Regions from separate parts of the Mus musculus genome. Here regions 1, 2, 3, 4 and 5 are each reported to be linked to region 6. Evidence: microRNA targets listed by miRTarBase, many of them from high-throughput screens and not tested one by one. Region 6 holds a microRNA gene; each other region holds the end of a gene's coding sequence. Distances are from middle to middle.
Evidence for each region. Region 6 holds the annotated microRNA mmu-miR-466f (ACGUGUGUGUGCAUGUGCAUGU, at 3,540-3,561, shown strand). A microRNA usually pairs through its seed, bases 2 to 8, with sites in the 3' UTR of a target mRNA and lowers its output. Matches are read on the target gene's strand: a 7mer-m8 pairs with bases 2 to 8, a 7mer-A1 pairs with bases 2 to 7 and ends in A, and an 8mer does both.

Region 1 (5,000 bases), 42 Mb from region 6:
GAGGAGCTGTTCTGTGCTGCGGGGCAAGCAGGGCAGGGTTGCGCGGAAGTGGACGCCATCCTCAGAGACATCTCCCAGCGCTGCGAGGAAGCCCTGCACAATCGTGACCCTAAGCGGCCCAGGCTGCAGCCAGAGCCAGACAGCAAGGACTGCAGCTCCAGGAACCTCCACGGCGCCTTCCGAGGACTGCGCACCGACTGCAGCGCCAGCTCGGTGAATCTGAGTCACAGTGAGCTGGAGGAAGGCGGCTCCTTCAGCACGCCCATCCGCAGCCACAGTACCATCCGCACCCTGGCTTTCCCCCAGGGCAAAGCCTTCACCATCCGGACAGTCACCGGTGGTTACAAATTCCGCTGGGTCCCCAGCTGATCTGGGATGTGGCTTCCCCTAAAATACTGCCCTGTGTAACAGCAGAGAGAAGCGTCTGCAAGCAAGTGGGCATAGCTAGAAATGTTTCCCACATCTGGTTCCCAGAATTCTCTGCAAGCAAACGCTACTCGGAAACTTTATTATATATTTTTTTTTTTTTTCAGAAACAGAAGTGTCTTGGTACCTGTGCAATGAAAAGTTCTGCTCCGAAGCCCCATATACTGCTTGCTTTTGCACGGTGAAATTGCGTGTATACACACGCACACCTGCGGCTAAGCACACGCCACAGTCAAACTTAGATGTATTTATTTTTTAGCGCTTTGTTTGTTTGAGGCAGGTCCAGGAGGCACATAGAGCAGCTGGACACAGACTTGCTATTATGATTGCTTCTGTTTCCTTCTGCTTCCATCTCCTGAGTGCTGGGTTAGAGGTGCTCACCGCCATATTTGACTGTTTTAGCCTTTTTGTAAGAAGAGAGAACAGTGCAAAGGAATGATGGGGGGTTCCACTAGAGAGGAATTATCCAATCACAGCCATTTAAAGGCTTGGGATTCAGAACCCCGGTATCTGGGTGTTTTGGCACATCACCCAATTCCCCTCTGTCCTCAGAGTACACCTACCTCCTAGCTGTGTTAACTACTGGAAAATGCTATTTCAGTTGGAAAAAACAAAAACAAACAAAAAACCACCACCACCAAAACTCCGGAAACAACTTGGCAGTTGTGGAGCAAGCTCACACAAGGATGCAGTGGTCATCCCAGCACTTGGGAGGCAGAGGCAGGCGGATCTCTGAGTTCCAGGCCAGCCTGGTCTACAGAGTGAGTTCCAGGACAGCCAAAGCTATGCAGAGAAACCCTGTCTTAAATAGCAAAGAAACAAAACCAAGCAAAGCTACACAATTAGGCAAATGCTGATGCAGGATAGGTGCTAAACACAGTTGTTTGAAATAATCATCCTATGATTTTGTAAGAGTTGGTTTGCGTGCTTGCTGCTTTTGGAGAGGGCTTGGACTTCAGAACCCAGCCAGCATCCATATCAATGGCTCAAATGGGAAAGAAACTCCAGTCCTGGGGTGGGGGTGTGGTTATCTGACATCATCCTCTTCTGGTTTCTGTGGGCATCTGTATACTCCGGAGCTACACACACACACACACACACACACACACACACGCACAGGCACAGTCACATAAGTAAAATTCTTTACAAAAGGATTTATGGTAATGTCTCAATGTATTCAGCTTTATCAGTGCAAACAGAACCACCTCCAAACCAACTTAGTTAAGAAGAAAGGCTGGTTGTTTTAAGCAAGTGGTCTGTACTCCGCAAACTGGGGGCCCCTCACCATATTTCACATTACATGACTAGTTCTTGTAAGCAAAATGTAGTGACCTTCCCTCAATTTTTCTCTCCCTATTGTTTGTGGTTCTCTTCCCACCCCACACTCTGTTCTGAAATCACACAAATGGAGGACGTCCTGTGCGATTTCTCTCAACCTCCACATGCTCGTTCTGAGGGTTCTTCCTGCTCCTGGGGCTGGGCTGGGCAGGCCTCCAGATGTACTGCACCACAGTGCATAGCTGGCTCTTCAGGCTGAGTGCACAGATCAGGTAGCAGGTGGGTTGGTTAAGGCAGCAAGACCTGCTCCTCCAGTTTGCCGTGTGTACTGTTATCTGTACTTAAATAGCCATTTCGAAACAAAAAAAATTGATAAAATAGACCATGTTTCCTCATATTTTGCCTAACAAATGGACTGAAAACGTGGGTTGTTCAGCTCCCCCCCCCCCATAGGCTCAAATATGCAGTTAGCACAGGTCAAGATCAAACAAAACAAGCTTCAAAATAAAAAACAAATCCTTTTAAATCTGTCACAACGAACAATGGCTCTCCTGCTCTCTGATACTCGTAATGCATTACCTTCAGTGGCCATAAACTACAGACAGTGTATGTAAGTTTCTTTTATGCCCTGTGCGTAGATTTTAAATAATCACCTTGCTATCACCTTTCACTTTACAGTTCTATAACTGCCATGCTAGTGGCCAGCAGCTCCATTTCCTGCTATTTTAAAAAGTACATATTTTATTTGTTTTTAGAAATTGATATTTATACAATGTATTTTTTATCAAATTCACTTCCTATTCCTCCCTAACTCCACTGAGATCCACCCCCACTCCTTACCCCATTTTAACTCTGTCTTCCTCCTCCTCTTCTATAAAACCCATCAAGTCCAATTATCTTTCATTCTTGTGGGAAAAAAAAGCTCTCTTTGGAACAATTGGCACCAGGGACCAACTTATCATCAGTTAACAGTAGAATCTAGAAACTAGTCTTCTAACATATTTATTGAAAACTGATGGCAATCTCTTTATCTCACATTCTAAGAAAACAATCAAAGAGCAGAATATGTAATTTCTTTTCTAGGCAGAGATACATATGTGACAAACAATTCAAGTGCTGGCAAGGACATGAAAAAGGACAAGGGGGTGGTCTCAGCTCAGGCTGCAGTACAGGATAGGCGGGGAGCACGAGCAACAAATGTTTCTGTTTTATTTTGTTAGATTGTTTTTTTTTAAGATTTATTTATTACTATATCTAAGTACACTATAGCTCTCTTCAGACACATCAGAAGAGGGCATCAGGTCTCATTACGGATGGTTGTGAGCCATCATGTGGTTGCTGGGATTTGAACTCAGGACCTTAGAAAGAGCAGTCAGTGCTCTTAACCGCTGAGCCATCTAAACAGATATTTCACAGTTCTGGGTCTGAAAGTTCAAGATCAAGGTGGTTCCACAGGCTCCCTTTCTTGGTTTGAAGATCATCATTTGCTCACTGGAAAGATCACAGGGCTGCGAGAGTTCCAGTCTTTTCCTAGAAGAGCTCTAACCCCACTACTGATGTTACACCACACCGCTCCCTCCTCCCAATCTCCAAATACAATCACACTGGGAACTAAGACTTACTTAAACATAGGAATTTGGGGGAGGCCTAGGTATTGAGTCCACAGCAGATGGCGATTTGGGGAAGACTGGGATGGTGCTATTTTAGATGAGGTGGTCTGGTCATAAAAGATTCCTCTAATAAGGTAATATTGGAGGGCTTCTGTTATGGATCAGTCTGTACAGTGTTTGTCTGGCAAGCTTGGTTGGGGTCAGCGATTTGGTTCCCAGATCTGCCATCAAATCGTAACAAGAGACAACTTCAGCAGAGACCGGAGTAAGCTTGCGAGTGAACGGTATGCATATCTGGGTGGAGAGTATTCTAAGCAGAGGGAAAAGGATATGTAACCGTCTGGTTTGGTGAGCAGTAGGCTGCTAGTGGGACTCGGGCTGAGAGAACACAGGGCTAGGCTCTGAGTGGAGGATTAGCACGGCCTCTCAGGACCTTGAGAAGACTTTGGGATCATCCTGAGTCAATTCATTAGGGGCATCCTCCTGCTGAAGAGTCACATGACCACCTTAACTTTACCTCAGTGGTGGAGGTCGAGGCCTTCCCTGCATGTTAGGCAAGGATTCACTAAACTATGTAGTTTTTTGTTTTTGTTTTGTTTTGTTTGTTTGTCTGTTTGTTTGTTTAGATAGTCTTATTGAATATCCCTGGCCAGCTTGGAACTCCCTGTGTAGACATGCCTGGCCTCAACTCCCTGTGTAGACGTGCCTGGCCTGAACTCACACAGCTCCACTTTTCTCTGCCCCCCTACCCAGCTGAGGGCTGGGATTTAAGACACACACCACCACACCCAGTTATAGTTACATTTTAATAACAATAAGTGAAAATTTAAAGTTAGCTTGCAAACTGATGGGTTTTATTATGGCATTTTCATACAGGTTGTTGTGTCCTGTTTTTATTCGTCCCCCACACATCTCCCACCCTCTTCTCTTACTGGTTTCCTTCCGACCTGCAAATAATCCTAGGTTCTGCTTTCCTATCACATGCACTCCTCTGCCCGCTTCCTTATCTAAGATCTCCTCCCTCCCTCCTGTGGCCCTTCATCATCATATGTGAACACACATGAACGAACCTGCACACATGTGCATTTACTTCTGCATCTTTGGTTTTGTTTGTTTGTTTGGTTGGTTGGTTTTGTTTTTCTCGAGACAGGGTTTTCTCTGTGTAGTCCTGGCTGTCCTGGAACTCACTTTGTACACCAGGCTGACCTCAAACTCAGAAATCCACCTGCCTCTGCCTCCTGAGTGCTGGGATTAAAGGTGTGCGCCACCAAGCCCGGCATCTGTTTTTTTTTTTTTTTTTTTTGATTGTTTGTTTTTTAAACGTTTATGTTTATTCATGTCTTTTCTGGTAATTCCACCAGAGGTTCCTTTATTGTTGAGAATAGTCTTTGCTATCCTAGGTTTTTTTAATTTTTCCAGATGAATTTGCAAATTGCCCTTTCCATCTCAGTGAAGAATTGGGTTGGAATTTTGATGGGGATTGCATTGAATCTGTAGATTGCTTTTGGCAAGGTAGCCATTTTTACTATATTGATCCTGCCAATCCATGAGCATGGGAGATCTTTCCTACTTCTGAGATCTTCTTCAATTTCTTTCTTCAGAGACTTGAAGTTCTTATCATACAGATCTTTCACTTCCTTAGTTAGAGTCACACCAAGGTATTTTATATTATTTGTGACTATTGTG
Region 2 (5,090 bases), not on the chromosome of region 6:
CTGGGATTGCAGATACTCACTAGCACCTGACCTTTACACGGTGCCAGGAGTTCAGACGCGTCCTCGGGCTTGTGCAGGTGTCCACTGAGCTGTCTACCACCCCTTAAGTCACCATTTATTTTTAATCTTGCATTGGGGGCAAGAGTATACACATGCGCTGTGGCATGCATATGGAGGTCAGAGGACAGCTAAGATACTTTTTAATTCAGTTAACCTTCTCAAACTGTCTGTATGTGATCCGGGCTGGAGCCCAACTATCTAAGTGCATAGACATGAGTGGGTGGGCTCTCTTGATGTGGTAAGAAAGTTGAATAACTGTAAATCTGACTTTCTCTGTAGGACTTCTACATCCAGAGCTGCTGAGCAGAAGCCATCGGGAGTCAGTTGGCTGGCCCAGCGGCTCAGGTACTAGTCCCAATGGCATGTGAGACTCAGGCTGTGCTTCCATAAGAAAGGCCAGAGCTGGCCACAGTAGCTATTTTTAGAATGTCCTGTGTTTCCTCTAAGGCTGTTTCTCATGACAGACCTCTTCTAGGTAGTTCTGACATGTGTGGTCACTCACGGATTCTGTCTCTTCCAGGCGCACAGTGAAGTGACAGCGAGTCTCCTGTGGGTGCCACACACCAGCTCCTTCCTGTTGGATTTTGATCTTGGGACGTGTCCTCCAACACTTTTCCTGCTTCTTCTGCATCTGAGTCTTTATAGAAGAGTCTCCCATTGACTGTTCAAGTTACGGTGAATTGATGGCTCAGTGGGGAAAGCACTTGCCCCACAGGCATGAGGACCTGAGTTCATCCCCAGAACTGGATGTGACTGGTGTACACTTGTCATCTCAGCACTTGGGAGGTGGTGAGAGGAAAATCTCCAGGGCTTTCTGACCAGCAGCCTAGCCATATTGGAAAGTTCCAGGCCAGAAAGACGCTGCCTCAAAAACCAAGGTGGACACTTTCTGTGGAGGGACATCAGAAGTTCACCTCTGGCCTCACACCCACACCCACACACCCACTTGTGTATACACACACACACACACACACACACACACACACACACACACACACACACACGAGGCTGTCCAGCAACTTCTTGGGGTGGGTTAGGTTACCATAGCAAACAGCTGCAGGGTTCAAGGCCTGAGGACTTGCTTAACTCTCCTCAGTGGTGGCTTTGGCCTGTGCTAAACCTCTCCAGGACTTGGTATTCCAGAAAATTCTGTCCTGTGACAGAAAAGAACCACCGTCTGCTCTGTATTCTCCCCTCCATGGCTTTTGTAATAAGGTGCCTTTGGGCACAGTCTACTCATGGTCCCCAAGAACAAGAGTGGACGGGGTGCCCTTTCCTTACCTCTGGCTGGGGATGCTATGGAGGAAGGGTGTGCACTTGGCCTGCAGTGATGTCTCCAAGGTTGACTTAAGCAACCAGCCTCACCATGCCAGGACTCCGCATGCCTGGCTTCAGGCTGTTTTGTGGTTTGAGGCAGTGTCTCACTGTGGAGCCCTGGCTGTCATGGAACTCACCCTGTAGACCACACTGGCCTTGAACTCAGTGATCCCCCTGACTCTGCCTCCCAAGCGTGGATTCACTTTTAACTCCCAAGAAGAGCACCAAGAAATGAGAGCCATTTCAGAAATGTCTGGTTTTGCCATAGAAGCTTCTCCTCTTCGTGCCGAATCCCCATGGCAGCAGGCTGAGGGTGTCCTCAGCACTTTGTGGAGCAGAAACCCAGACAGAAGAAAAGCAGTGGTTCTGGGCCTTGGGGTGCAGCCACCATCACTCCTGTGCCACCTGTGTGGCCTGAACCATGTCTACCCCCAAATGGCCATGGCAGTGTAGGGGAAGATGCTTGGGGTACTCTGGTGACCTGTATAAGCGTTTACCCTCACTTTCCAGGAGCTTGGCTATTAGAGATGACATGGGACCAACCACCCAGCGGGTTTTGACTTTCGCCCTTAGTTCTGACAGCCTTTGGGACAGTTAACTGCATGAATTCCATACATAGCAGCTTTGTGCAGGGTTCGTGGCCTCTAGCTGTCATGGGAGGCAGGGGTGGGTTCTACTCACTCTGTTCTCTAAGCCAGTGCCTCTCGTCACATCAGTCCAGCTCTAGACTCATCGGTGCACTCATCCTGGCCCCAGTGCCTGGTTAGATCGGGGGGTGGGGGGCTGGGGGGGTATTTGCTTTTAGAACAAGGTCTAGGCAGTGGTGCTATGTGGGGACATTGAGACAAACCAATCTTTTGTACTTCCACTTCCCAGCACTCTTTCATGGTGGTACACACTTGAGGTATAGCTAGCATAACAAAGCTTTTGATTCAACTTAAGTTTTAAAACTACTGGGTTCAATAATTAGGCAGTGTTTAAAAGGGGAGTTGGATATATACGTCTCCGTCCTAACCATGGTATGCAATAGTGTTTCCACTGAGATGACTCTAAGTTGGAAATTAAAAGCACACTGGGCGGGCTGGGGAATGGTCCAGTGATTAGGAGCCTGAACCTCTCTGCAGAGGACCAGAGTTTGGTTCCCAGCACCACCCATATTAGATGGCTCACAACTATGTGTTAACCTCAGCTCCAGGGGCAAATGATGCCTCTGAGCTCTGGGCCTTGCACTCACATGCCCATGTTCTTAAACATGAATTCGGAAGTACAGTGGCAAAGGTTAGAGCCTAGCGTTGTGGGTTAACCCTTACCCAGAGCCCACCAGTGAGGAGCTGGGGCCACAATTCAATAGAAGAGCACTTGCCAAGAACCCCTCGGGCCTGGTTTAGTGGAGTACCTGCCTGTCATGTCATCAGGCCTCAGATTCTCTCCCTACTGCAAGGAAGCAAAATCACCAGGCTTTAGAGACAATATCAAATGCAAGACATTGTGTGTTGAAATATCTTATGTATAATGGTTAATAAAAATTATTTATTTCACCCATTTTTTATTCTAGACAGTTTCTCTAAATAACCCTCACTATCCTGGATCTCAACTATGTAGACCAGGCTGGCCTTGAACTCAGATTTTCTGTCTATACCTAGGATCAAAGGCGTGCACCACCACTCTCCGCTTGTTTCATTTGTGTGTGTGTTTTGCTTGTGTATGTGTACTTTGTTCATGCAGAGGCCAACTTTTCTTAGAAAATATGGATAATTCTTTTCAAGGTCTGCATTTTGTGTGTGTAGTGCAGGTGTGTTTGCATGTTTGTACATGTAGGGGCACAGGTGTACACGTAAATGTGGAGGCCTGAGAATAACCTTCAGTGTCGTCCTTGGTCGCTTTCCCCTTGTAAGCTAAGGCAGAGACTCGCTGAACCCAGGGCTTGCGGCTGCAGCTAGCTCCAGGAGCCCCTGTCTCTACCTCCTGCGTGCTGATTACTGGAAAGCTGCCGTGCTTCCTGACTTTTGTGAGATTGGGGATTTGAACTCTGGTCCTCACACTTGTGTGGTGATCACTTTGCCCTCTGAGCATCAAAGCTCCATGTGCTTTTTAAAGAAAGGACTTAGCAGTTCCCCCTCCAGTGAGATTCTCTGTCCTCAGCTGCTCACACTCTTGTGCAGTTCCTTATTTGCTTTGGTGACTTCCCTTTTTGTTTTTTGTTTTTTGTTCATTTGTTTGTTCTTTCTTTTTTTTTTTTTTTTTTTTTTTTTTTTTTTTAAAGATTTATTTATTTATTATATGTAAGTACACTGTAGCTGTCTTCAGACACTCCAGAAGAGGGAGTCAGATCTTGTTACGGATGGTTGTGAGCCACCATGTGGTTGCTGGGATTTGAACTCCTGACCTTCGGAAGAGCAGTCGGGTGCTCTTACCCACTGAGCCATCTCACCAGCCCCTGTTTGTTCTTTCAAGACAGGGTTTCTCTGTGTAGTCCTGGCCGTCCTGGAACTCACTCTATAGACCAGGCTGGCCTCGAACTCAGAAATCACCACCACTGCCCGGCTTCCTTTTTGTTTTTATTGTTGTTTTGGTACAGTGTCTCATTATCCATAGCTGGCATAGAACTCTATATAGACGGGGTGGCCTCTGAGCTCACAGAGATCTGCCTGCCTTCTACCACTAAGAAGTGCTGGTGATGGAACCCATGGTTTCACCCAGGCTGGGCAAGTGAGCAGCTTCAGCCTCCAGCCCACTTTCTACTTTTGATAAACTCTGCTTCTCATCGGCTTGTCCTGAGATACTTTTCTGCATTGAAGCCTAAGATCTGGTTTTACCTGAATCAAGGTCCCTAAAAGATTTAAAGAAATTTGGGGCTGGAAAGATGGCTCTGAGCACTGGCTGCTCTTCTAGAGGTTCGAATCCCAGCACCCACATGATGGCTAGCAACCATCTGAGATTCCAGTTCTGGAGAAATTGATGCCCTCCTCTGGTCTCTGCAAGCACTGCATGCCAAGGTACACAGCATGCAGAAAACACTCATATACCTAAAATTATATATAAATGGTGGTGCATGCCTTTAATCTCAGCGTTTGGGAAGCGGAGGCAAGCGGATCTTTGTGAGTTCAAGGCCAGCCTGATCTATAAATCAAGTTTCAGGTCAGGAGAAGCCCTGTTCTGAAAAGGCACGCACTTGGGCCTGAGTGAGCAGGGCTGGGGCGAGAGTTGACTCAGCGGTTAAGAGCACCGACTGCTCTTCTGGAGGTCCTGAGTTCAAACCCAGAAACCATATGATGGCTCACAACCATCTGTAATGGGATCTGGCACCCTCTCCTGATATGTTTGAAGACAGCTACAGTGTACTTACATATATAAACAATAAATCTTAAGGGGGGGGCGCTGGTGAGATGGCTCAGTGGGTAAGAGCACTGACTGCTCTTCCCAAGATCCTGAGTTCAAATCCCAGCAACCACATGGTGGCTCACAACCACCCATAATGAGATCTGGTGCCCTCTTCTGGTGCGTATAGTGTATACGTACAGCTATCGTGTACTTACATATAATAATAAATCTTAAAAAAAGAGAAAAAGCACACAATTTTTTTTAAAAATGGAAATAAAAAAGATTTAAAGAAATTCCTTGGGCTGCTACAAATTAACAGAATGGAACCCTATCCCTGTTGCTGCTGACAGGACTGCCCAGACACTGTATCAGTGGGCACAGCCCAGTAGTTC
Region 3 (5,078 bases), not on the chromosome of region 6:
GTTTTGGAGATGGTTGCACAACACAGTGAATGAGCTAAATGCCACTGAACTAGGTACTTCAAATGGTGCCGGTGATGGAACTGGGTCTCAGGGTAGAGCCCGTGTCTAGCTTGTGTGAGCTCCTATGCACTAGTCACTCTTAGCACCAAAAGGAAAAAATGAAATGGACAATTTAATGATATGTGGACTTTGTATACATATGGATTTTTTTCCATTTCATAAAAAATGTTATGGGCTAGAGATGTGGCTCAGTGGTTAAAAGCATTTATTCTTATGCAAGACCTAGAACCCACCAGAGTTGGCATCTCACCATTGTCTGTAACTCTCACTCCAGGGGATCTGATGCCCTCTTCTGGCCTTCATAGGTACCTGGCATGCACAAGGTGCACAAACACACAGAAAGACAAAACTTTTTTTTTTTTTTTTTTTTTGTGGTTTTTCGAGACAGGGTTTCTCTGTGTAACCGTGGCTGTCCTGGAACTTACTCTGTAGACCAGGCTGGCCTAGAACTCAGAAATCTGCCTGCCTCTGCCTCCCGAGTGCTGGGATTAAAGGCGTGCGCCACCACGCCCGGCCTCAAGACAAAACATTTATACACATAAAATAAACATTTAAAAATTTTTGGATTTGGGCTGGTGAGATGGCTCAGTGGGTAAGAGCACCCGACTGCTCTTCCAAAGGTCCGAAGTTCAAATCCCAGCAACCACATAGTGGCTCACAACCACCCGTAATGAGATCTGATGACCTCTTCTGGTGCATCTGAAGATAGCTACAGTGTACTTACATATAATAAATAAATAAATAAATAAATAAATAAATAAATCTTTAAAAAAAAAAAAATTTTTGGATTTATGTCTGTGCAGTTCATGCCTGCCTCATACCCAGGAAGTCAGAAGGCACTGGGGTAGCTGGAGTCACAGGCAGTTTCAAGCTACCAGGTGGGTGCTAGGAATTGAACCCCAGGGAGTATTCTGGAAGAGCAGCCAGTGTGTTTATGTTTGTTTGTATGTTTGTTTGTTTGTTTTTTTAAGATTTATTTATTTATTATATGTAAGTACACTGTAGCTGTCTTCAGACACTCCAGAAGAGGGCGTCAGATCTTGTTACAGATGGTTGTGAGCCACCATGTGGTTGCTGGGATTTGAACTCCGGACCTTCGGAAGAGCAGTCGGGTGCTCTTACCCACTGAGCCATCTCACCAGCCCTGTTTGTTTGTTTTAAAGGGGGCATTGGAGCTGGTGAGATGGCTCTGTGGGAAAAGGCACCACCAAGGTTGACTGACCTGAGCTCCATACCACATCGTGACATGCTGCCACACAAAACAAAGAGATAATTACAGCAGGGCTGGGGATTCGGCTCAGCTGGCAGAGCGCTTGCCTAGCTCATCAAAGTCTGGGGTCCATCCTCAGCACCACCTTAACCGGACAAGTGTGAGGATGGAGAGGTGGCTCAGGGGCTAAGAGCCTTGGTTGTTCTTGAAGAGGACCTGGGTTTAAGTCCCAGCCCACAGAGGTCTGTATTGCTAGTTCCAGTAGTTCCAGGGGAACAGGATCTCTTTTCACTTCCAGGCACACACACACACACACACACACACACACACACACACACACACAGAGAGAGAGAGAGAGAGAGAGAGAGAGAGGGAGAGAGGGAGAGAGGGAGAGAGGGAGAACAGAGAACTCAGAGAAACCCTGTCTCGAAAGATCAAAACACAAAACAAAACAAACAATGCCCCCCCCCCCCCCCCCCGCCCCCAAACCAAAATGAAACAAAACTTGAAAACAATAATGAGCAGGAACTAGGGATCTTCACCTGGTGGTGCAGGCTCGCCTGTAATCCCCATGCTTGAGGCTGAGGCAGGAGGGTCAGCAGTTCAAGGCAGCCTGGACTAAATGAGCCCGTGTTTAACTAAAATAAATGACTCAATAGAGTGGGGCTGGAGAGATGGCTCAGGTAGGACCGTGTAGCATGCTGCTCTTTAGAGGGCCCAAGTTCCGTTCCCAGAATTTGGTGGAGCTGGTAGAAGTTCTTGCTGCTTGGAGAAGGCTGGACCGTGCGTCTCGAGTCTTCCTGAGCTGCATGGCACTGTCCCCTTGTGCATGCAATTGCTGCACAAAAGTACGTGCTAAGCAACCAGAGATCCAGGCTGAGGCTGGCGCTCAGCTATCAGAGTGGTTGTCTAGCATGCCCAAGGCCCCGGCTTTCATCCTCCTAGGGAAGAAAGCCTGGTGTGGAGGTGCGTGCCTGTCATCCCAGCACTTGGGAGATGGAAGGCAGGAGGATCAGGAGTTCAAGGCTAGCCTAAAAAGAAGGAGAACAAACAGACACGAGGCAATGTTTTTATTTGTAGCTTTATTAAGTCCTTTTACTTTCTAAAATATGATTACAAGAAAAGAATACTTCATTTACGTGTAACACTGTCTTCATGGATGTACCGTGGTCACAGAGTAGAAAGAAAACTGGAGTATAGCGGGAAGGAGAGGAGAGACTGGTGGGTGTTTGGCCCTGGTGGCCCCGACAGAGAAACAGAAAGCAGCAGCGACAGAAACAGGGGCTTTTCTGAGGAGCGTGTGCTTTGGGTCATAGCTGATGCTTCCAGAACCTTAAATAAACTCCCTTGCTGGCTACAAGGCTGGAACTCAGGGCTCAGCTCAGAGCACGACCTTTCAAATGTGCCCTAGGCTGTGAGCATCCAGAGACACCAGCAGCTGTCTGTCCTGAAGTTTGGTTTTCTGTTTCATACACGTGCAAAGACTCCATCATGACATCTACCCACCAGCCAACCCAGTTTCTCATCCATTGCTCATTTATCCATCCACCCACCCCACACTCATCCGTCCACCCATCCATCCACCCACCTGTCCATCCATCCATTCATCTATCTGTTCATTCATCCATCCATCTATTCATTTATGCATCCATCCACCCACCCACCCACTCAATCAGCCATCCATCCATCCACCCATCCATCTGTCCATCTTATTTTCTTATGCCAACCAAGCCTCTATGCCTTAGACAAACCCCTTCTACAAAACTCAAGCGGAGTAAGACTCCATCAAACCAAGAGACCCACTTGTCTAGAAGAGTGAACACTTTCCTTTAGTCCATGAGTCTCAATGCTGCCCTGCTGAGGTTTGGCGCCAAGGCCCAGTGGGTTCAGCTGTGATCTGGATACGACAGGGAGACTTGAGAGGACAAAGTCCTCCCTATCGCAAGGCACATCTAGAAGTTGTTTCCTTTTTCTTCTTTATGAAGAAAAGAAACAAAGAAACAACAACAAAATCCCCCCACGAACCACACTGAGATCCTGGGGCCAGAAAGGAACCCCAGTTAGAGAAAGGTGCAGCCTGTCTGTCTCTCCTGTCACCAGCAGGAGCTCCAGGGCATTAAAAACAAACACACAAACATAAAACTACTCTTTTGTCCCTTTGGATTTCAGCAAAGCCTGTCACTTTAAGCTAGTTCTGGGAGTGCTCTGAGGCCAGCCAGCTCTTAATCAGGAACATATGGGCTTCATAGCGAGCGCCTGTACTTGGTCAGTATCACAGTCTCTGTTTACTCTCCTTTGAGGAGGAGGTTCTGGGCTGTGATGCTGGGAGTCACTCCGGAATGGCCTTTTTTCTTTTTTGTCTGTAGGTCTGAAAGTATTTCTAGAAGTAGTCTCCTCTGCCAAGCACTCCCCGTGGGGAACAGGGAGGTCAGCATAACTTCTTGTAAGTTGGTCATTTCCAAGTCACAGGACATCAGCTATCAGCTGCAAGATGACAAGCCCTGTGCATGTGTGCGCGCGCGCGCGTGCGTGTGTGTGTGTGTGTGTGTGTGTGTGTGTGTGTGTGTGTGTGTGAGAGAGAGAGAGAGAGAGAGAGAGAAAGGAAAAAGGCAAATGAAAACACTGCTTTCTGACTGGAGGCAGGCGGCTAAGGTACGGCAATCTTATTCTGTAAAGCAATCACAAGAGACACCCCAGGCCCTGAAGACACAGTCTGGAGGTGGAGGGCAGTGGACAAGACCCTATTGTACACTAGACAATGAAATGAGGTGACAAAGGGTGGTGAGCAGGCTTTGTGGAGACCTGCTGTAAAGATGAGGAGACAATAGACACTGTAACATTCCAGTGACATTCAAATTTAGCAACTGAATTCTGACCCCTCCCATCCCCTAACAATGACTCAAGAATACAGTATTTTCTCTTCTTGCCCCCCCTTCCTCCTCCCATAATTGCCGGCTGATTGTTCTCTATGTTCTTTACAAGAAACCCACACCCAAGGCGTTGTCAACTGGTGCCAACTGGGAGGAGAATGTAGCTTGGCTTTCTGGCTTTGAACCCAGGGTGCTGGGAAAGGCTTCCAGGAGCTTGAGCCTGGTAGATGTCAGGGCTCCCTCAGGGAAGTTCAGGGGCTGAGGAATGCCGAGGCAGAATGGGACAGAGGGATGGAGGAGGGACGGTTTGATGCGTGGCTTGTGGCTGGTGGGTCCTGGGGGACTCACTGGCTCCTCCCTGTATTCACTCCTCGGCTGAAGACGAAGCCGGACTCTCGTAGTCTGACATGGGAGCGAACTGTAACGATAGGCAGAATTCTTTCTTGGCATACTTTCAAATCCCTCTGAGGAGATTTGCTGTGGATGCAGAGGGAAGAAGGGTAGTCCCTGCCTTCCAACACACCAGACACAGTGACAGACTGTCACCCTGTTCTTGTAGAGAGAAGGCAGAGGAAGGAATCAAAGCGGAGTCCAGGAACAAGAGAGGGAGACCCCTGCACCAGGATCAAGGAGAGCGCCTGGGAGAAGGGCCAGGGCAGAGGCTCTATCTGGAGATAGGACTGGAGGGCCTTGAGAAAGTCTGTCAAGTGATCCCAGCCACTTAGTAAATGGGATGGGGGTGGGGGTGGACAGTGGCCCACTCCCCCTCCATATATACACACAGATGATAGGATCTCACAGTGTAATCCTGGCCTGCCCAAACTCACACCCCAGCTGGAGGAGGATCATAATATAGTGAAATGTACTTACCTTGAAAAGCAAACAAAACCCAAAATAATGTTTTAAGCAATTGAATGTTAATGCAGAGGGTTCAAGAG
Region 4 (5,090 bases), not on the chromosome of region 6:
CTTTTTGGCCCTGGTGTTCCCCTGTACTGGGGCATATAAAGTTTGCAAGTCCAATGGGCCTCTCTTTCCAGTGATGGCCGACTAGGCCATCTTCTGATACATATGCAGCTAGAGACACGAGCTCTGGGGGTACTGGTTAGTTCATATTGTTGTTCCACCTATAGGGTTGCAGATCCCTTTAGCTCCTTGGGTACTTTCTCTAGCTCCTCCATTGGGAGCCCTGTGATCCAATAGCTGACTGTGAGCATCCACTTCTGTGTTTGCTAGGCCCCAGCATAGTCTCACAAGAGACAGCTATATCTGTGAGCATACAGTGCCTAATGTCACAGCACTGTGAGCATGGCAATCATTCCCTTGCTCACAACACTTGGTAATGTCAGTCTTTAAAACATAGCTATCTGTCATCTGTCAACAATTTCTTCCTGAGGACCTTTCTGTTTGCACCTTGAAGAACAACAGCTCTTGCATGTTATGGCTGTCGCATTGAGTTCTCTCTCACCCTCTAATCTTCTCCATCTCTGCGCTTCAGGCGACTGTTTCCTGATGGTCAGTGGTTGTGAGAATCACTTGAGAGTTTTCCAAAATATTCAAACCCAAGTCCCATGAACATATTGTCTCTTCTTCCCCAGGAATGGACTATAGATTTATGCATGTTGAAAAAATTGCCTAAATGATGTACAACCTTAGCTAAAAGCCACAGCCCAGCTTCTACCTACTCTGTCAGGGAGCCTCCATCGTGAACCTTGTCAGTTTCTTTTCCCACTGACGTGATAAGAGATCAAGAAAAGCAACTTAAGGTTTATTCTGGCCCATGGCTCAAGTCCATCATGGTGGGAGGGTAAAGGTAGGAGGAGCTTGAAGCAGGTGGTCACATCCTGTCCACACTCAGGAAGCAGGGAATGAAATATGCTTGGTGTCACTCATACCTTCTCTCCACCTACACAGTCCTGGAGACACCACACAGAGAGGGGCCCTCACAAGGTAGAGTTTGTGAATGGGGCCTGAGCACTTTTAACAGATTTCTCAATGATTCCAGCATGTAGCCATATTTTCTGTTTTCCATTAGATTTCTCTGTAAACTCCTTTGGTGCTAGGGATCAAACACAGAGCCCCACCCTCCTGGGCAGGTGCTTTGTCTCTGAGCTGCCCCCTCAGCTCTTAACTTCTCTGTCTTGTTTGAGACATTTGTCCCTTTCAAATTTTGTATAATTGTTATTATCTGTGTCTTCTGTCTTAGGGATTTCTGTTCCCTAGAGAAAGGACCCATCTTCTCATTTCTGTATCTTTCATGAAAATATACATTGGCCATCAGGGAGACATTGTCAACCACACACAGTTTGTGTCCTGCTTGAATCTATTGTCCTCACTTGGATGCTCAGTGTGGAACTGCTTATGACGAAGGGTGTGGGTAACCACAAGGGAGAAGCATGCTGCTTGTCGTCTTGGGCACAGCACTGGGACGAAGATTTATATGTGTGCGTAGGCTAGAGGGGATCGGGTTGTAGGGGATACATCTGATGAGAATTTAGGAATCACTTGAGGGTGTGATGGGGAAGTGAAAACATACTTGACATACAATATGTGTATGGTTGAAAAAAACCCATTAGGGGACCCAGTCTGATGCTCCTGTCTTTAATTCAAACACTTGGGAGGCAGAAGCAGGCAGATTGTTGTGAGTTTAGGGGAAGCCTGGTTTACAGATGAAGTTCCAGGTCAGCCAGGGCTATATAGGGAGACTCTGTTTAAAAAACAAACAGCTTTAACACACACATAAAATAAATGTAAAATAAAGGAATTATTGTGCGGAGGGCCATGAGCCTTTTTAAATGAAAAATTATTTGAAGGCAGGTGCTATAACTTCCAGGAGGAGGTAGGGGCTTGAGAAATACATGCAACAGCCATTGGCTGAGATCTTCGAGCTGAGCGGAGGGTGGGTTAGGGGACACCGAAAGCATCTGAGAACTGACTGGCATCAGGGCAATATGTTGTTGGTGGTGGATGCAGCATCTCTGACCGAGGTCTGAGATGATGGAAAACTCAATGTGAGGCTAGCACACCTTTGACCCCATCCCAGTGCAGTCTGCGCTGCCTCCAGTGTCTCGGGTGTGGAAATGGGGTGGGGAAGGGCAGGCCACACTTGCATTTGCATGGCTTGCAAATGAAGGACATGAAATGATAGAGTAACACTCAATGGCATTAATTTGTGCAACTCATTCAGGTCAGAGGTTTAAGAGGACAGACAGGGCGTAGTAACAAGAAAGGAACAGGAGGTTCTGGAGAGAGTTCAGTGTGGAGATTGTTCTGAGTTGAGGGCTGCAGTACTGCCTTTGAGTGGCTGAAGCCTTGGGGATTCCACCACAGTAAACCACTCCTCCCACCCAAGTGGCTCCAGACACTCAAAGGCAATAATGCAGCTTTCAACTCACAAACAACTCCACATGTTCCCTCCCCCTGAACTCTCTCCAGCACCTCCTGTTCCCTTCTTGTTAGTATTCTGTGTCAGTTTCTCAGTTGTAGAGCGTGTGTCTGGCACATGCAAGACCCTGGCTTCCATCCAAAGCATGGCAAAACCAGAAACAAATAGACAGAAAACCCCACAAAGTGCTATCAGTGATATATAATACATTTTTATTATGAACATAGAGCAAATTTACAAGTAACTCAGATTTGTCTTAAGCCGGGCAAAATTAAATAATCCAGCATTGCGTGGGTGAAGCAAAATATACACAGGCTGTGTTAGGACTGAAAGAAATCCCTGAGTAGGAGAACTAATTAATTCTCTCCAAAGCCTGTTGGCTTGGCGTGAGACCAAACACTTGATATCCAATACAACCTTTGCTTGACAGGCACAGAGGGTGTGCCTTAGCTCAGAAGGTTCCTGAGGTGACTGTTTGCCTCTCCTCCTGCTGCTGCACTCATCCCTGGTGCCCTGGTGGGGAAGGCAGGATTCAAGGCTACAGAAAGGCCAGGGCCAGGTGAGAGGACCCTGCTAACAGCCCACTTCCGGTGGAGCACTGGTCCACTGGAAGTGCAGAGCATTCCAGGCTGTAAACACTGCCTCTGGCATGGGTGACTGCATTCCTTTAAGGACACACTTTGAATGAGCCAAACAGACAGTAGCAGAGGCCAAGGTTTCCTGAGAGTGCAGGGCAGACAGAATGTCCAGGTAGCCAGGCCTGGTGGCCAGGGCTGCAGTCTGAGCAGGTGGGGTGCTGCAGAAGGTGTTACTGTGGGATTGAAACCTGCACAGGCTCCATGCTGGAACTCTGTCTCAAAAGAAGGAAAAAAGTCAAAACGAAAGGGAAACAGAGGCAGAAACACTGCAGAAGGGCAGCTGGAGGCTGGTGCTGGGTTTCCAGAAACCTAGCTGGGTCCCTCTTTGGTGGGGATGTGGAAAGCTTGTTATTATTTTATTTTTTGAAGGTGAGAACAGTTTTTGTTAGAGTTTAAAAGAAACACAAGAAGGCAGAGAAGCTGGAGATCTCAGAGGAAGAGTGTCCAGGCTCTGGCCAGTATCTGAAAGACAAGATAAAGAGATGGAAAAAGGGAAACCAAGGCTTTTCTTGACTAATTCAGAAAAGCAGGAGGCTTAGCCTGACCCATGACAGTGGTACTGCAAGGGACTGCCTCACTGTTCATTTATTTATTTTTGGTTTGGAACTCATGATCAAAAGGGCTTGAGGGGCTAAGGGAGACAGAAATCTAGTGGCCCTAAGGCAAAGTGATCAGCTCGCATACTGAGAGGCAATTCAGTAGCTACAATTTTCAAATAGTGGATTGTCTCAGAAAGAGGAAAACTCCAATACCTCCAAATATGGCTTCTTTTCAAATAATTTCAACACTCTCCGAAGGTTAGCTCTGTGCTGCTTTTTCACACTCCAGATGTCTGTCAGTCCAAAGTCACCAGCTCTGCTTTTCTGGGCACCTTCCTGGTGGATGTTAGAGATGCTGTCTTTTCTTCTGAATCCTGCCTAGCAGTTTGCTTGGAGTTGCTGACAAAGAGCCTCTCTAGTTGCTGTGAGTGGATTTTCTGGAGAAAGGCTCAGAGAAGGGCTCAGGCGTGAGGGCACAAGGTTCAGAGACTCGAATGTCCCAGATGGGTAAGCATGACAGTTGTCGGGTGTGTAGATTGCCCATGGAGGTTTGATCTTCTCATGTATGGTGGCTTCCAATCAGCCTTTAAAGATATGGGACTGGCCATTTCCTGCTTCTGGTTTGTTTTGTTTTGTTTTGTTTTGTTTTGTTTTGTTTTGTTTTGTTTTGTTTGGCGTAAGCACTTAGGTGACCTCCAAGGTTTATGGAAATTCAAGTCAGACTCTGATAGGGCAGGACTTGGAGTTGGGAGGGGAATGAAGGTGCTCTGAATAGGTCAATTTTCAACAATCTGGGTCAGGAAAGTGAAAGGGTGAGAAATTTTGATACCTCACTCTCAGCCAAATTTGAAAGCCTAGAAGGGTTGAGTTTTCTGTAGGCTCCAGGATCCACCTTTTCTTCTATAGACACTGAAGGAGTCAATAGAGTGAATGCATGAGTGTGTGTGTAAGTGTGTGTGTGTGTGTGTGTGTGTGTGTGTGCGCGCGCGCATGTGTACGTGTGTGTGTGTGCTGAGACCCTCCAGTGAGGAACAGAATCCGGGAATGCATCACTGGTGCAGCCAGCAGGACAGACGGACAGATTATGCTCACTTCTTTTTTACTTCTGAATAAACTGTTTCTGTGGCTCTTGGAGAAGAAGGGGCTGAAGTTGGCCGGTTGGGTTGCTGGGAATTGAAGTTCAGGACAGTGTATGCGACGTCATCCACCTGAAAGGATGAGAGTTGATCAGTGACTCAGCACCACAGGCCTGAGCCTCACCTTGCTGCAGCGGTGGGAGAGGGCTCCTGTCACTCACAGTCAGACATCCAGATGGGCTACAGAGCAGAATGAAAGCCAGATGTGTGCGAGGATGTGCACTGTCAGACTGCCTTTGCCCTCTGTAGGAAATGTGACAGCAATGTGTGTCTGGGGAGGAGGACAGGTTTGTGAAAGTTCCCACTGTGAAAGTGTCCTTATGACTTAAAGCACTCTTTGGTCTATGTGTGTACTCTGTTG
Region 5 (5,090 bases), not on the chromosome of region 6:
GGGGCTCAGCTGGTTCTGTTTACCCCTAATCCTCGGGCTTCCCAAGGCTACAAGTGAAATGTGAAGTTTTGTGTGCTTTTTAAAATTTGGTAGTAAAAGTAAATGTATTATATGTTTAATTTCTAGGAATGAATTGCAATTACTTATGGTATTAATCCTGCCAAGAAACAAGTCCTTTGTGCCATTTTTAAATCTCACATTACCACTTCATTATAGCTTTTTTCTTAGCATATGAATTAAGAATTTATTCAATTTGGTGTTTGCTATCTGTACAGCAATTGTTATACAATAGTGATATCACAAGTCATACTGCAGTAGTTCCTCTGGGATGGCACAGGCCCAGCTGCAGTAAGTCATCGAGGAAAGAACGTAGTCGGTGTAGATTTGTGTGTGTGCCCCCACCCCCAAGTGACTCCTTTATGATGCAACAAATTATGCCATTATTTAATACAGAAATTATATATAAATTTCCAGACATCTAAAAGAATTGTGGATTTCTCACTATGGCACTGATGGATATAAATTCCCATGAGAGGAAAGCCTATGAGTCCTCCCGTAGGGAGCACGGAGGTCTCAGAGCGAGCTGGCGCACTGAGCCGGTACGGCAGCGTGCACTGACGTCTGTTTCTCTTTTGTCTCCTGCTGGTCTCTGTCTGTGCAGATGAAGGCAGCGAAGTCGAAAGTGAGACGGATGAAGATCTGGATGATTCTTCAGAGCCTCGGGCCAAAAGGGAGAAAACGGAGCTGAGCCAGGCGTTCCCAGTAGGCTGCATGCAGCCTGTTCTGGAGAGTGCTGTGCAGCCCAGCCTCCTGAACCCCCTACACAGCGAGCACATCGTCACAAGTACACAGACCATCAGGCAGTGCAGCGCCACAGGCAACACCTACACTGCAGTCTAACAGCAGGAAAGCAGAGTTTTCCAGCTTACTCTAACCCCATTGATACTGGGCTTAAGCTGAAATTTTAACAAGCCTGAAGGTTGACTGTTGTCAAAAGTCTATCTGTGCTGAACATTACCTTTTTGGAGTTGTGAAATGGAATGGGTGTATGTATTTTTCCAGGTCTTTTTTTTTTTAACACAAATTATTTGCCTTTTAATAATAGAGCCCCTCCCCCCTTAGTTTCAGGTGTCAAGAAGGATTTATACAACACTTAATGTCATTGTTTTTGTTTTCTCATAATTAAAAAGTAATTTACATTTTGTAGCTTAAAATATTTTATTGTTGATTGTTAGTCTTGGTGTATGATTTTATGTGTAAGTTTTTTAATTAGATGCACTTCTGTGAAATATCAAAAGAAATGAATTTCTTTGATTTACACTGGAGGCATGCCCATTTGGCAGCAGATGCATCAAATTTGCTTCTGAAAGGTGCTTTTCATTGGACAGAACCATAAGACACTATTTTGATAACATTTTGGAGTATGGAGAGAATACAGAGCGTTTTTATTATAGTGGTAGAGGGTTGGGAAGGTCATCTATTTTTCTCTGAAAAAAATTGAGCTGTGCATTTATCAGTTCAGGATAAATGACAGAATTGCAAGAGATTATGCTAATATGTACATAATTTGTGTACATAATTATTAAACCACGTTAACAATGCAAGCTTCCGTTAGACATTGACTTTTAACTATTATTTGTGTACCAATTCCTCTGTTTAAAGACTACTGATTCTGTATTGGAACCACTGTACAGATGCATTCTGCTGTTAAGTGGGGCTGTTATAGTTAGATACTGCAGCTGAAAAAATGACTTGACTTTTTTTTTAAGTGTACATGCTACTTATACTGAGCTGGACATACAGGAAACCATTCCATTTGGATGACTTTCTTTTATTCCAGGTCTTTTTTCTAATAGTAGTTCAATATGCTGCTATTATAAAAGAAAATGTATAGAATGCAAGGAATGTAGCGACCTGCATATTGTTATTTCCTGGTTTCTAAAATACATGGATTTAAATTTTACACAGAACCTGAAGGCAGTGTGACTGGCACACCTCACTGTTGCTGACCCCGACTCTGTAGGATTTGGATAGGTGGCTGGATGGACCATTGCCATTGGAGAACGTACATCAGGGATCATCGTACCTCGGCTATTACATGGTGCCTTAAAACAGAACTGAGCTAAGGTTTAGTAAGGTTTATTTTGTTTGTGTGAATAACTCTTCAATCCATTCGGTAACGTGTGCCTGTCATGCTCAGATTCCTGAAGTAAAGACAGGTCACATGTTCTTCAAGGGGAATTTAGGGGAAATTAAGCAAAACAAAGAGACAAAAACTTCAGTTTCTCTCTGAGGGACTGTGAGTGGACTTGTCTAGGTTTTATCCTTGGAGCTGAATATCACTTTATAACAAATCAGATTGCTAAGGGTGTGGACTAGCAGTTTTCATCCAAACATGTTACATAAAGATCATGTGTTGTAGACCATTCTTATTTAGCTATAATTCTAGAAAGTTAACAGGATTAGCAGGTACTTATTGAAGTGCATCTTTTCAGTCTAAATGTCTGTCTGTGTGTCTGGGTGTCTCTGTGTACACACAAACACACACATACATACACACACACACACACACACACACACACACACACACGTGGAACTGGAGTCTGCTACAGTCAGAAGGTGAGATCCTAAAGAGCACAGCTCATCCCATTTTACTTTGCATGAAAAGCCAAGGTTCTTTTAACTCAAGCTGTCAACAGCAGCAACAACATGGGGCATAGCCTTTCATTTAAGTAATTATAAAATTAAATCAGTGCAAGTCAATAAGGAATTAAGTCAATAAAGCCAAAAAATGGAAAGGAAAGCACAAAATGACACACAGATCACTACTGAGGCCATGTTAAGCTGAAGACTTCATCTTTCCAGTTGGATTGGGTGAGGGGTATAGTTAAGGAGAAGAGACTGTGCCAATCTGGAAAGTTAAAAATAGCAAATGGCTTATCAGGAAACACAGTCTATTGAAACTGTTATTGCCTGATTGTCTCAAACTTCTGAAAATCAACAGCATTTCTTAAGTGAAATTTAAATGTCTTACATATAATTTTAATGGATTCAGATTTTGTATGGATCAACCTACTCACACACAAGACTTCACTGGCATCCAAGCATTACTTCATTACTGAAGATCCCAAGGCAATGAATTTGCAAGCCCCTCCCCTCCATCATCCATCATAAGCTACAAAAGACCATGGACCTACTTCATTGTGAGTTAGAAAATGTTTACACATAAAATTCAAATCATAAACTAGCTCTCTTCATCTTGCCTCTCCCTCCTGAGGTCTTTCAGTCTCCTGTCCCTCCTTGTCACCCCAGACGACATCATGTCTGTATTGGACCAAATGTATTTACTGGTTTCACTGTGTTTATTGGTTGACTTTTTAAAATGTATTTGTATCATTGTTTCATTTAATTTAATTTTGGAGATATTTGTATCATGAGAGGAATCAGCTAACAATTGACAGACATAGATTCATGAGAGGGAGGGACTGAATGGCCCTCCAGAATTCAACATTTCTTCCAGTTGTTCATGGTTTGTTCCAAATTAGGACAGAGTAGAAATTAACAAGTATTGTTATGGTTGAAATTGACTCCAAAATATTCTGAACTTTTAGAAATATTTAGGAACATTAATCCTTTTACACCAGTGTAGATAGCTCTAACCAATACACAAAAAAGAATACCCATGGCTTATGATACTTCTAGCTATTTGTAGTATATTGTGCACACATCAATTTTGGATTTGAATTGTGAACTATATTAGAAAACAAAAACAGTAATTTATGTGCAGGCAAAATTTATAACAATCACATTTGTCTTAGTTATTTAACATTTTGTTTCTGTTTTTCCATTTATTGAAACTGGCTTTTCTAAATAATATCAGCCACCAACAGTCTCGTAGTAGACGTGTTGACACAACACACTTTTTAAGGACTTGCTGGTATTTCTTGGCATTATAATAATGCCTGTCTTGAAATACATGTATGTGAATCAAGTACTACACTCCTGGTACAGAGAAGGGAAGGGAGGTGCATGAGCTATCAGTGCGTTTCAGAGGAGATTCCCATGTAATACACTTGAGTCTCATAGGTATAGTTTTATATCGGCAAATACTTTGAGAATTATAGCCAAAAGAGCTACACTTCCAAAACCAGTGAACAATGGATGAAATGGGTGAAACTTCTCCTGGGAACACAGGGCCCAGTTTTATATTTCCCCTTTGGATTTACCAAGTTACTAAGAACTTCGGGACTTGCGTCCAAATCTTGACTGTATGACTCTTACTGCCTTTTTTGAAATCTGCGTTCCTTTTTGTGACTTTTTTCCTTGTACTGTATAGCACGGTTCATGCACCTCTCTTTAGATGGTGTACTTTAAAAACAGAAGTAAAATACACAAATGGTTTTCTCGCTGCATACCTAAAGTTAGTAGTGTGCAACATTAGCTGCCTTTAATTTGTAGTAGGTGAGCGAGAATGAGCACATTCTTGCAGAATGCTGTAGACGTCAGTCAGGAGTGAGCACAGCTCCCATGCTGTGGTCCTGGGCCTTTTTACATGGACACACTCTCTACAAGTGCTAAATGCATTTTCAGTTTGGAAAGATTATTATCACATTATTATCATTAATATTATTATTTAAAATGTCTAAGATAATGCTGTGCTTGAAACATCTGTGTGAAAGAAAACACGTGTGTCGCTGTGATGGTCCTCGTTGCATGGACATAGTAGAAAGTCAAAAGCTTGACGTGTTACGCTTGCACACGAGTTAAGGCAGTGGTTATAGACAACATACTGACTTTGTCATAACCTCCCCTCCTCAAGTTCTTTTGAACAAATCACGATCATCCAGAAACTAAAATCAGGACTTTTCTGATCTCCGTGGATCACAGCAGAGTTTGGGGGAGGAAGGTTGTCAATGCAGTGTTGTTCAACATCGGGCTGTGACTGGATCAGAGCAACAACCTCCATGTACATGGTAGAACAAACTCATTAACAGAACCCTAGTATTTCTGTGAGTCTGGTGATTTTAAAAGACTGGGACTGAAGCATTGATTCAGCGCTTAGTTCTAGTATTAGAAAAGCCCTTTGCTGT
Region 6 (5,090 bases):
AAAATGAAGAGCAGCAGAATGTACCAAGAAAAAGAAAATGAATTTTCTGTAACCAATTTAAGTGCCATATTTAGACATACATTATATATATATATATACATATATATATATATATGTATATATATGTGTGTGTGTGTGTGTGTGTGTACATACGCACACACACACACAATCTTAGGCTCTCTGTAATCTAATACTTCCTGTGAGAAAATGGAAGCCTTAGCAGCAGGTACCAGAGCTCATCTGACTAGGCTGCCAGAACAGTGTGGGAGATAGATGGCCGAGAGGGAAAGAGAGAGAGAGAGAGAGAGAGAGAGAGAGAGAGAGCGGTTCATGGGGGGAGTCAGGGATAGACTCTGAGACACTTTAAACTGTTATAAAATTATAGTAATAGTAGACTAGGATTGGCTCAGTACAATATTACCAATTACTTTTACTATTAAAATTGTTCAGACTTTAAACATGTATTCTTATGGAAAATATTAGAACACAGGAGAACATTTAATTAATAATTTGCCCTAATGTCTGAATTTCCCTATGGATGTATATACCTCTCTCTCTCTCTCTCTCTCTCTCTCTCTCTGTGTGTGTGTGTGTGTGTGTGTGTGTATGTATATATATATATATATACATATATATATATATAAATCTTGAATCTTTGTCATATATTAATATTATTAAATATATATTATACTTGTAGTGAAGAATCTATTGCCAGAGCAAAAGGTCCCTGAACTGTTCAAACATCTTGAAAACACTCGGGTTCTAGAACACAGAAATCATGATGGTGCTTTAGATATGATCTGTTCTAAATCCAGACAGTTTTATAAGCTGGGATGCTTTGCTTTCCTCTATGTGCATGTGTGAGAGAACGTATTCCCTCCAACTCCTAGAAGGTGTATGTTTGTCTTGTAGGATGTGGCAGAGTATGTTCATGCATAGGGCACATAAATATTAATATTGAGTTGAGAGAAGGCAGTGAAGGGGAGAGCACACCCCAGTGAGAAGCCTGCTCCGGCTCTAACCAGCTGTGTAATCGCCCAGAGATGCTCAGCTCCTGAGAGCTTCCGCTTTCTCAAGTGCAAAATTTGGAAATTAGGCTTAGGACTTTGCAAACTCCTTCTCCGGGTCACAGGCCACGGGTGCCTTGAAGTTAGATCCTTCACAGAGCAGTTGCACCACGCCGGGACAGCCTCCTCCCACCCTGCAGTTTAAATTGAGAGAGATCCCTGGATCTTTTCCTTCTGAGTCAGCTGGGAAGAGAGAAAAATAACGTGGAGAACCCTGTGGTTTCGGGAGGTAATTGTGACAATTTCACGGGCTGTTTGGGAGCAATCGTTTGGTTTCCCTGGTGCTTCAGAACATTTGGGGGCTTTCCTAACGTGCCTGCTTTCTTTTTCGTCCTCAGAGTGGCTCGATGCTCTAATACTCGAATTTAGAAGACAGATGAACAATGAAATAAGCGAGACGGCACTGCTTCCTTCATGAACTGTAAATGAGGAAAGAGTGAACGCTGTAATTGTGACTTGGGTTCCTCTGGATTACACTAGCTCCTCTTCCTCTCGTGATGTCCAGCTGCCCTGCAGCGCCTGGGAATTTACTTAAAACATGCATTCAAAATCTTTATTAAAATACATTCAGCAACACAAAATCAAACGGCTCATTTCTCTTCTTGCCTCTCCCCCCTACTGTAAAGCTAAATTGGACCGCGGCCAAGGTCTCTAAAAAGCACTGTGGCTTTTAGGGAAATCATTTTTCCTTTGTGAGCAGCGGGGAATTTCACAGACCCCTTTGCTGGCCTCAGCGAAGGGGAAACAGTGTCCGTGCTTCCGAAGGCGGACGCTAGGTGGCAGCCGAAGACAGCCTTTGCCCCGTTGGTGCACCGCAGCTGCCAGGGTGCGAGGCAAACATTCTTTAACAGTTGGAACCAATAAAAATCAGCTTTTCCTCTTAATTACTGCTAAGTGAATACCTTCTGATACAGCAGTCAGATGGCAAAGCTGATTACGGAGCAGGCAACTTGCGCTTGAGAGCTAGAAGTCTCTAGAGTGAAGTTCCCTTAAAACCCTTCTCATACCTGAACCGTGAACAGCATTGCTGAAGTCGGGGGAATCCCAACTTCAAAGACAGAACAGTGGATCTGACCTCCTGAGTAACCTCCTTAAACCTGAGATTTATTTAAGGGGAGTGGTAACAGGAAAAAATAAAATAAAATAAAATTAAAACAATCCAGATGCGCTGCAAGTCCTTCCTCTGGAGAACGTTGGCCTTAAGTTTTCTGTGTTTTTATTTTTCTTTGGGTAGGGTCGGTGGGGAGACAGGGGCCTTTTGTAGTCTTGGACTCTATATGAATTTGAGACAGTCTCTGCCACCTGAGACTTGTCCCTAAAACACAAACTAAAATGCGGATAGTGCCTTCCTCCTTATTAAACACATCACTCCAGGCAAAACCCAGGCAGCCCCAACAACACAGCTATTGTGCCAATGGGCAGAACCATGTCTCGAGCAGCGAGCAGGGGCATTTCCCCAGTATCGAGCAGTCCTCGTAGCTTCTGATAAATTATGCCCATCACTCAAAGGTAACAAAAAAAACCTTCATGCAGACGGGAGGGTCATGGAAATCTAAGGACAAATAAACACTTCAGGAAGGGTCTGGGGTAGACAGAGATCTCAACGGGACTTGAAAAATAAGTCTCAGTGAGCCCTTGTCTTCCCATTGCTGTAAAGAGACACCACGGCCAAGGCAACCCTTTTAAAGGACATTTAATTGGGGCTGGCTTACAGGTTTAGAGCTTCAGTCCATTATCATCGCAGCAGGAAGCATGGCAGCATCCAGAGAGGCATGGCGCTGGAGAAGGAACATACCTTATTCTGAAGGATGCTAGAAGACCAGTCTTCCAGGCAGCTAGGAGGAGTGACTCAAAGCCCACCCACACAGTGACACACTTCCTCCAACAAGGCCACGCCTGCTCCAACAAGGGCACATCTCCTAATAGTGCTACTCCTCGGGTCAAGCATACTCAAACCATCACAGGCCTCCTTAACAGAAAATGTGCAAAGTATGTCCTGTTCAATGCTAGGTTTTGATTGACATACATCCTCATTTCTGAGACTGGGCCTAATAAACAAACGTATGATCCAATCACATTACGTGCTAAGTCCTCTCCCTCAGCTCCTGATGTTTTCCAGGGGGAATGCAGGGTGTTTACAGCTACTGAAGTAGAGTTGCAACATCTTGTTACAACTAATTAAATAAGCATCCTGTTTCTCTAACTCCTGTTGCTCAGAGCCCTCATTTTGATATTTTATATCCATCCACGTTTGAACAGTAAATGCCCACCCATGTCCTCATGGCCAAGTGCAAGATTCTGTTTGCCAGTGCCCATGAAGCTGTGGTTAACATTGTGTGTGTGTAGGTGTGTCTGTCATCCTGTTTATCTGTGTGTGTGTATGTATCTCTGTATCTGTTCATCCATGTATGTGTGTATCTGTGTATGTGAGTGTATCTGTATGTGAGTGTGTGCATCTGCATCTGTGTGTCTACGTGTGTGTGCATGTGCATGTGTGTGTATCTGTATGTGAGTGTGTGCATGCATGTGTGTGCATCTATATCTGTGTGTCTACTTGTGTGTGAATGTGCATATGTGTATGTATGTGAGTGTGTGTTTCTGTATGTGAGTGTATGTGCATGTGTCGGCATGTGTATGTATATGGGTATATTTCTGTATGTTGTATGCACATGTGCATGTGTGTATCTGTGTATGTGCATGTATGTGTGCATGTGTGTATCCCTGTATGTGACTGTGTGTGTGCATGCGTGTGTGTGCATGTGATCGTGTGTGTGTGTGTGTGTGTGCGTGTGTGTGTGTGTGTGTGTGTGTGTGTGTGTGAGTGTCTCCATGTATTTGTAAATGGGTATAGGTCAGACCCTGGGTGTCTTCCTCTGTCTCTTTCTATTTGTTTTTATGAATTGGAGTCTCAGAGAACCTGCTCTTCACCCATATCAAGACTGGCTGACAGGAGGCCCCAGCATCGCTCCTCCCAGTACCACTCAGAGCTAATGTTACAGATGGGCCGCCATGCCTGACTTCTGAATGGTGCTGGAGATCACAACATTGGTCCTCAGACTCGAGGACACTCACTTTCCCAACTGAGCCATCGCCCCAGCCCCTGACTTGTAATTTTTACATCGCATTTTAATCTAGACCTATATCATAAAGTATCTGACACTTCCTTCTAGTTTTATATTTCATTGTTATATTGGGCCCCAGTGGGTCAATTTTCGCAAGTTCTTTCAGGTACAGTTTGAAGCTGTTTTATTGAACCCTGTTGTTGACAGATGAGCCTGACATGCCTACCCTGTCTTTGCTGCCCTATCAAAAATCAGCTGTAGGCGTGTGTGTCTGTGAATGCGTCTCTCATGAGCACACAGCGACTGTACAGAGCGAGAGGTTTCATTATAGCTTTCGCTCATGTGACACAAAGCGCTGTGGCACACCCACCCTCTTCTGGGTTTGTTTCTCGCACTCTCTTCCGCTTACACATTCACAGGGTTTTCCTCTCCTGCTTCACATCCGTTTGTTACTCCTGTTATGTGCACATGTGCACATACAAAAAGACAGAGAGCCTGTCTGTGATGACTGGCTTGTTTCACTTAGCGTTGCTATGATCTCCACCTTTAGACATTTTCCTGCAGACATCCTGACTGCATGCTACATGATTGAGTGAAACTCCACTGAGTCTTTTCTGTAGCCTCATCTGTTGATGGATGCCTGGATTGGCCGCATGAGTCAGCGATTGCCCATGCAGGTATGTGTGGTAGGCTGATCTTCACTCGTTGGCTGTATGCCCAGAAGGGCACAGCAGGATCACATGAACGACAAACTCTTACTTCCACTGAGTTCATAGTGGCTGCTCCAGCTCATGACCCCACCAGTTCTTTACCAGCATTTGCCTGCTTTTCCCTTAGAGCAGAACCGCGGCTCTCAATTTTCCTAACAACTGCGACCCTTTAGTACATGTCCTCATGATGTGGTGGCCCCCAACCGTAACATTATTTTTGTAGCTACTTCGTAATTGTAACTTTGCTATTG

Region 1: miRTarBase lists Mcidas as a target of mmu-miR-466f. Seed matches in the 3' UTR shown: 7mer-m8 at 624-630 and 7mer-m8 at 1,534-1,540.
Region 2: miRTarBase lists Zfand2a as a target of mmu-miR-466f. Seed matches in the 3' UTR shown: 8mer at 1,059-1,066.
Region 3: miRTarBase lists Kank2 as a target of mmu-miR-466f. Seed matches in the 3' UTR shown: 7mer-m8 at 3,799-3,805.
Region 4: the mRNA of Ceacam1 is a reported target of mmu-miR-466f. Seed matches in the 3' UTR shown: 7mer-m8 at 4,591-4,597.
Region 5: miRTarBase lists Rfx3 as a target of mmu-miR-466f. Seed matches in the 3' UTR shown: 7mer-m8 at 2,585-2,591 and 7mer-A1 at 4,756-4,762.

What each region holds. Positions count from the first base shown.
Region 1 is chr13:112,998,816-113,003,815 of GRCm38, forward strand. Mcidas (multiciliate differentiation and DNA synthesis associated cell cycle protein) reads left to right here. Exons shown (of 7, transcript NM_001037914.3): 7 at 1-1,579. The coding sequence ends at 369. Among named protein-coding and RNA genes, the nearest start is that of Mcidas, 7.4 kb to the left of the region's middle.
Region 2 is chr5:139,469,045-139,474,134 of GRCm38, reverse strand. Zfand2a (zinc finger, AN1-type domain 2A) reads left to right here. Exons shown (of 7, transcript NM_001159908.1): 6 at 340-405; 7 at 581-2,919. The coding sequence ends at 596. Among named protein-coding and RNA genes, the nearest start is that of 3110082I17Rik, 11 kb to the right of the region's middle.
Region 3 is chr9:21,764,447-21,769,524 of GRCm38, forward strand. It overlaps Kank2 (KN motif and ankyrin repeat domains 2), which reads right to left. Exons shown (of 12, transcript NM_145611.4): 12 at 2,327-4,558. The coding sequence ends at 4,505. Among named protein-coding and RNA genes, the nearest start is that of Spc24, 6.7 kb to the left of the region's middle.
Region 4 is chr7:25,459,100-25,464,189 of GRCm38, forward strand. It overlaps Ceacam1 (carcinoembryonic antigen-related cell adhesion molecule 1), which reads right to left. Exons shown (of 9, transcript NM_001039185.1): 9 at 2,603-4,801. The coding sequence ends at 4,682. The region is part of intron 4 of 4732471J01Rik (RIKEN cDNA 4732471J01 gene); the gene reads left to right. Among named protein-coding and RNA genes, the nearest start is that of Ceacam1, 16 kb to the right of the region's middle.
Region 5 is chr19:27,764,265-27,769,354 of GRCm38, reverse strand. It overlaps Rfx3 (regulatory factor X, 3 (influences HLA class II expression)), which reads left to right. Exons shown (of 17, transcript NM_011265.3): 17 at 662-5,090. The coding sequence ends at 900. Among named protein-coding and RNA genes, the nearest start is that of Gm35697, 98 kb to the right of the region's middle.
Region 6 is chr13:71,103,569-71,108,658 of GRCm38, forward strand. Mir466f-4 (microRNA 466f-4) reads left to right here and starts at 3,521; the gene lies at 3,521-3,641. It overlaps Gm40997 (a long non-coding RNA gene), which reads right to left and starts at 2,859. Exons shown (of 3, transcript XR_873655.1): 1 at 2,780-2,859.